Linked DNA regions of Rattus norvegicus. Each later gene encodes a partner of the first gene's protein in a complex. Links are inferred from orthologs where the notes say so. Each region holds a gene or a part of one and is shown in the gene's direction. Other genes may lie near its edges.

Region 1 (4,363 bases):
TGTGACCCAGGACCTAGAATCCTAATTTGGAACTACACACCCAGTCCTACATGGGGAGGTTAAGCATTTTTTTAGGTTTTATGTAGATGGATGTTTTGATATTTTGTTTTGGTTTTTGAAACAGAGTCTCACTATGTAACTCTGGCCATTCTAAAATTCATTATGTAGACCAGGCTGGCCTGGAACTCACAGAGATCTGCCTGTGTCTCCAGAGTGGTGAGATTTAAACACACGTACAACCCTTTCCGATCTTGTTTTTGCCTGAAGGTATGTTTGGGCGCTTTATGTGTACCAATGGATGGATGTGAGCCACCAGAGATACAGGTACTGGGAAGTGAACCCCGGCCCTGTGGACGAAACAAGTGTTATTAGTGGTTAAGCAATCCCTCCAGCCCTAACGGTTTTTAAAGTATTTTTTATGTACAATGAAGTACAACTAAGTGTGTAGAGCTGGTGCACATACATCCTCCTGAATTATTCTGTTTTAATTTTTACTTCTAGATTTTTCTCTGTCAGAGAGGCTAGAGTTGGCTTCTCAGCACCCACAAGGGTATGGCTCCCACCTGCCTATAACTCCAGTCCAGGACATTCATATCTTCAGGGACCTGCCCTCACATGCACATATGTGCCTGCAGATACATACATATGACTAATTAAAATGGTAAAAATAAAGTTGTTTTAAGGGCTAGAGAGATGGATCAGCAGTTAAAAATACACGTTGCTCCTCCAGAGGACCTGAGTTCATTTCCTAGCACCCACATGGCAGGGTATAACTTTCTGTAACTCAAATTCCAGAGATTCCAATCCCCTCTGTTGGCCTTACCACCAGGCATGAACACACAGTACACAACACGTACATGCAAACAAAACATTCATGCACATACAATTTTAGAATCTTTTTAAAAATGAATAATGTTTTTATTTAAATTAAGTTATCAAAGAATAATATTGAAGGTAATTGTCTGAGTTCTAAATCTGTAATGAACCTTTTAGTTTTGGTGGTGGATGATTGCATTTAAAATATATTTGATAATAAAATAAATGTATATTAGATAGTGAAAGTATAATATCTAATACGAAGTTCCACAGTTTCAGCATGGCTACGCTAAAAGCACAAAAGTACATTGGGCTGTCTAATTTTTGGGGCCAGATTAATTTCGGTGTGTGATAATTTTTTTTTATTTGAAACACTTTTATAATAAAGTTTTTATAAAAAAATAAAACCCTTAATTTTTTAAAGAAAATTTCCTCTGGGATTACACAGTTATTGCACAAATATATTGTCAGTGCCCTTAGACTTATTTGGCATTGGAAATGTGTCTTTTTGTCAAAGGGTTTGGTCTTTGTTCAGAGCTGCCTGCATGAATGAGCGTCACAAGCTCTTTTAGCCCAGGGGATAGTGTGTCCTCCTGCTGACGAGAATTGGCTATCTGCAGCCACCGTCTCCCACATGAGGTCTTATCCAATCAGAACTTCACAGGAAGGGGCGGGCCTGAGGAGCGCGCAGTGTGCTTTCTGCTGAACCTTCTTGCTGGCTTCAGCATGGAGGAAATTTATGCTAAGTTCGTGTCTCAGAAAATTAGCAAAACCCGCTGGCGGCCAGTGCCTTCCGGAAGCCTGCAGACCACAGAGACCTTCGCCACGGGCTCCTGGGACAATGAGGTACCCGGACTTGGGCGGGCCCCAGCTGCTGTGCTCCACGCCCCCCGCACTGGCGCGGGAAAGCGAGCTTGCCAGTCTGGTTTGGCTGCCCGCTACTTGAGAGCCCCCGATGGCGTGTCTGAGCCTCGGATCTGGTTTTAAACCCTCAGCAAGTCTGTAGTCATACCGTCCGAACTTGGCCATATCTTTGATCTTTTCCACTCTAACCATATCGTTTGTCTGAGATGCTGTTGAAGCAAGGTCGCCTGAAAGGCAATCTAGAGTTGACGTTTTCGTCACCTCAAGATAAAACTGTCCGCTTTGCAGGAAAATTGCGTTTCACTGTGGTCTATTGGAGAGTTTGGAAACTTGGATTCTGACGGAGGGTTTGAAGGAGACCATCAGTTATTGTGCGATATCAGACATCATGGGGATGTCATGGACTTACAGGTAAATCTGAGTTGTCTGCCAAAGCTAGCTTTGGGAATTTGAGGCTATATTTAGAGGTAACGAGGCACCTTATAGTTTGTCTGCCCTCATCCCTGATTTACAGGACACTAATCTATGAAATCTGCCCCCTCATTGTTTAGGCACTTAGTCACAGAAGTGGGGCTGGGAAATGGAATTCAGGTAAGCCAGTTTTAAAACGAATTGCCCAAGCCAGACATGGTGGTTCAAGCCTCTAATTCCAGTTCTTGGGATGCAGAGGCAGGAGGGATCTCAAGGCCAGCCTGGGCTACATAGCAAGACCTTATCTTAAATAACAATAATATTTGTCTATCTATGTGCCAAATGCTTTTGGCGAGTTTGATACAGGTCTGCTATTTTGTATTGCACATCTGTGAGTCAGGGTTATCATTGTGAAGATGGTCTAAAGACCAGATGAATGTAGAGAAGTGCTCTCTACTTCTAGTGTATGTATCCCCACCCTCAAGTGCTAGTTACTACTTTACTTGGTCAGATAAATGGGGCTGGTATCTTTTGAGCATACATAGTAAATATCGTGCGGAATTGTTCTTATGAGATTCTTTAACAACTTGGCGTTTCCATTTTAAAGGTTTATCAAAATGTGAACCAGTAATAAATTTTCAAAGCTGGGCTAGTGATAGATGCTTGTAGTCCCAGCTACTTAGGAAACTGAAGTAACAAGTCAAGATGAGTTTGGGCAATAGAGACCACCAGCATCACCCACCCCACCAGGAGCTCGCCTCAATCAAAAAACAAATCTGTATATGGATTCAGATGTCATATATTTTACTTGGTAAAAAATTTGCTTAATATATATATATAGGTTATTTGCTTCTTTAAATTTGTATAGGGTTTGCTATAAGTCAGGTTGAGCCAGTGAACTTTTTTCCCTGTTAATATTTTAAAGTAATCTATAATAATATGCAGAAATTTTCTGTTTAGTTTTTTGACCAGGAAAGAATTGTAGCTGCTTCGTCAACAGGATGTGTAACAGTTTTTCTTCACCATCCAAATAACCAGGTAAAGAATTTTGTTGGGGAGAAGCCAGGTCTTCATTAAGAGAGAGGATCCACTACCTAGAGAACTTTCTGTTGTGGCTGGGATGATCAATCAGCAATTGAGTGTGTATTGCTCTCAGAGACCCATGGTCCTACTCCAAGAACTCAAATCATTGGCAATAGCCTATAGCTCCACTTTGTCCAGATCTAAATCCCATGGGCCTGGAAAGGCACCTGCACATGTATAGTGCACATAAACTTAGGCAGGCACACGTGCATGCACATACCTTTTTTTGTTATTTTTGTTTTTTAAGACAGGTTCTCACTATGTAGATCTGGCTGGTCTGGAACTCCCTATGTAGACCAACCCGGCCTACATTGGCTTCCCAAGTGTGTGGCACTATACCCAGCTTTAATTAGTTTTCTTAATGGAATCATATAGAAAAATGTAGAGGTTAGCCCCTTACACATGAGTTTAATCTCATAAAACTTTAGAGAATGTATCAGCATTCAGTTATTTGGTAAAAATCATTAGTTTGAGATAAATGTGCTGAGTCTATTCAGAATGTACCAAAAAAAAAAAAAAAAAAAATAAGGGAAGTAGTTTCTAAACATCAGTATGCTCAAATACAAAGAAAAGGGAGACTTGTTCTTTCTTCTAGAGGGACATGAAATACAACTGAAAAATACTATTATTAGGCAGGCATAGTGGCTCACCTGTAATCCTAAACACTTGGAAGTTTGTCTCAAAATACAAAACTTCCTAGCGAGAAGGGCTTTCATTAGAACTTGGCTCTGATTAACAGTGTGCTCATTTCTGATGCCTAGACCCTGTCCGTCAGTCAGCAGTGGCCTACAGCTCACTACCATACAGGTCCTGGCAGCCCTTCCTATAGCAGTGCACCATGTACAGGAATTGTATGCGACAATCCAGAAATCGTTACAGTTGGAGAGGATGGCCGAATAAATCTCTTCAGAGTTGATCACAAGGAGGCTGTAAGAACTATAGGTAAGGAGTCCTATTTCTTCTATCCATTACATAGTAATTGGACTAAGTAAACATGATCTTAAAAGTTTGAAGGGTATGAAAATTACACTTGGCAGGATCCTTGATAAGATAGTGTGTGGGTAGTCCAGTGTAAATGATTTATAACAGCAGAAGGATGTATTAGGTGGTAGTGTTTTGTTTTAGCTAAAATTATCACATAATTAGGGGACAGTGGCAATTAGTATATTCTCAATTCTATACCATAAAT
Region 2 (2,682 bases), on another chromosome or scaffold:
AACAGGGTCACCTCTCTTTTAACTTTACTTGTACTTCACAATTATAATCTAATCCCACAATTTCAGCTAGTCACTATGCTCTCAAATTACCACCAATGCATTAGAGAATATTTTCTCCTTCATTCTTAAATGGAGACATTTGTCACATTGTTGATTGCCTATTTCTTGAAACTAGTCCTGATGAATACCTATATGTGTGTATGTATACATATGTGTGTGTGTACATATGTGTGTGTATATGTGTGTATACGTGTGTGTGTATGTGTGTGTGTATTTTTCTTTGTGCATTCTGTTTGTGATTTGCTTTCCCTCTTGTAAATAATTACAAAGCAAACTCCAAACCATTCAATACCTTAAATACTAGAAGTGAGATTTCTGACGCCACTCCCCCCTTCTTCCACCTCGTCACTGCTACCTCACACTTCTAGATGTCTGCACCTTTAAATCAGCAAAATTAGACGAACCTTCTCAGAAAGAAGGCACTTTACACAGTAGATAAAGATATTCTTTGGATATTAGGGATTAATGCTGTATCCAGCAGAATTGGAGAAATCTTGTCCATTATAAATCATATTGTATGACATGCTTTCATAAGTCTAAGAAACAACTTTCATACTGTAATTTTTTTAATTGGCATTTACTTTATAAATTTTTGAATTTGGTTACATATTTCACATCTTGATAACAATTTATTAAACATTTAAAATTATGGGAAACTTTTTTTTAATTATTGGAATCTTATAAAAAGGAAATAGAGAGGAACTAATAATAGCTACTCTCTCCTAATTTAAGAGTTCAGTATTTACTAGGTGCTTGTCCAAGTCTATAGGTACCTCTGACACTCACTGCTTCATTTCCTATGCGTCTGCCTCTGTGTGTGATATGTGTGTGTGTGTGTATATATATATATATGTATGTATATACACATACATGTGTGTGATATGTGTGTGTATATATACATGTGTGTGATATATGTCTTTATGACATGTAATCTCTGCTTCTTTCTCAAACTTGGCTAACGAGACACATGCGGGCTTTTCTTCTTCCGTCCTGTATTACAGCTAATGGTCGCAGAGAAGAACGGAACAATCCGGTTTTATGATCTAATGGCCCAGCAGGCAATTTTATCTCTTCAGTCAGAACAGACACCATTAATGTCAGCACACTGGTGCTTGAAAAACACCTTCAAAGTTGGTGCTGTTGCAGGAAATGATTGGATTATCTGGGATATCACTCGGTCCAGGTAGTTATGTAGTATGTCTGTCTGTTCTGTTACATAAATATGTTGTCAAATGACCCATTTAGCCATTCTTGTAGACTCCATGTGCAATGAAAACAAGTGTCTCCTGTAGAAAAAGAAGAGATGCTGTCCCTGGAGAGCCCAGAGCGGCTCTAAGCCGTGTCCATTGCTCGCTATTTCCAATTGAGCGCTTGCTTGGAATTTTGTTACAGCTTAAATATATTGGGCTCCAAAAAGAAAACACCTTAAAAACCTTCATTGAAGTTCATCTACTTGAATCTAACACATATTTTGTACAACGTAAACTCTTATTTTTTAGTTATCCTCAAGAGACAAGACCTGTCCACATGGATCGCGCACACTCGTTTAGGTAATGTGCGGTTTCTGCTGCGGTTGTGTGAATCCTTGATTTAGTGTATTCCACGGCCAGGATGACTTCCCTGCCCTCCTCTTTACATAGGACTGTGGGGGATTGGTTTTCCTCTTTTGTCTCTCTGTTGCTTTATAGGGGTTATTTTCTTTTCCCTACTAAGTAGTTGCTTTGTCTTTTGCTTTAGGTAAGCAGGAAATTTATTTTTCAACCACTTAGGAAATGTTTGTAATTCACAGAAACCATGTAGCCAGTCTACCAGTCTACCTCAAGGTCAGGATGGCTTGTGCTGCCTGCCTCCTCCCCTGTGGTGCTCTGTACAAGTGCGCATAGACCTATGTGTGCACACCAAGATCACTAATATGTCTTGAACATGCCAGTTACATGTTATTTTGTTATGTTTTCGTTTTTTATTTGCATTAACATATTTTGGTTTTTGTCATTTTATTCCATTGTATTATCATTAGGCAGCCTTAAATGACAGGAAAAGCAAAAAAAGCTAAGAACAGTGAGACATTTGTAATTTGCTGGTTTTTTTGTTTTATTTTTAAATCATGTCTGAAATATCGCTAGTAAAAATTACCAGGACTTCGTTATTATTAAGAATGAAATATAATCAGTATAGTATTAAAATCCCATAGATTGGGACTACAGAGATGGCTCAGTGGTTAAAGGCCCTGGTTGTTCTTCTAGATGACCCAGGTTCAATTTCCACCACTTGCATGGCAGCTCATGCCTGTCTGTAACTCCAGTTTCAGGGCTTCTAACCCCCTCACACAGACACACATGCAGGCCAAACACCAGTGAATATGAAATAAATTATATATTTATATATTTCCATAGATTATTATGAAATAATCCAAAGTTCAGAGATATGATCAAATATTTTTGAAACCAGTGACTTATGTATGGTTTGTGAGAACTGCAGAGGAGGCCTTCTCATCTCAGCATGTGTTAGCAGCTCTTCTCCTTAAAGCCTCGGCTGAGTGGGGAGACCTGACTTCAAAGCTCCTACCCTGCCCCGCCCTGGGGAGTGCAGACCGGTAGACCCTGGGAGCTCACTGACCTGCCA

What was found.
Region 2: Nup43 (region 1) and Nup37 share a complex: the UniProt entries of both Homo sapiens proteins name them as parts of the nup107-160 subcomplex of the nuclear pore complex. The link is inferred for Rattus norvegicus from reciprocal best matches to the Homo sapiens genes NUP43 and NUP37.

What each region holds. Positions count from the first base shown.
Region 1 is NC_086019.1:3,966,951-3,971,313, forward strand, and holds the start of Nup43 (nucleoporin Nup43), read left to right. Parts: upstream 1-1,515; 5' UTR 1,516-1,542; coding exon 1,543-1,662; intron 1,663-1,968; coding exon 1,969-2,091; intron 2,092-3,051; coding exon 3,052-3,129; intron 3,130-3,935; coding exon 3,936-4,116; intron 4,117-4,363. UniProt on the Homo sapiens protein: Component of the Nup107-160 subcomplex of the nuclear pore complex (NPC). The Nup107-160 subcomplex is required for the assembly of a functional NPC.
Region 2 is NC_086025.1:24,484,905-24,487,586, forward strand, and holds part of Nup37 (nucleoporin Nup37), read left to right. Parts: intron 1-1,061; coding exon 1,062-1,243; intron 1,244-1,559; coding exon 1,560-1,610; intron 1,611-2,682. UniProt on the Homo sapiens protein: Component of the Nup107-160 subcomplex of the nuclear pore complex (NPC). The Nup107-160 subcomplex is required for the assembly of a functional NPC.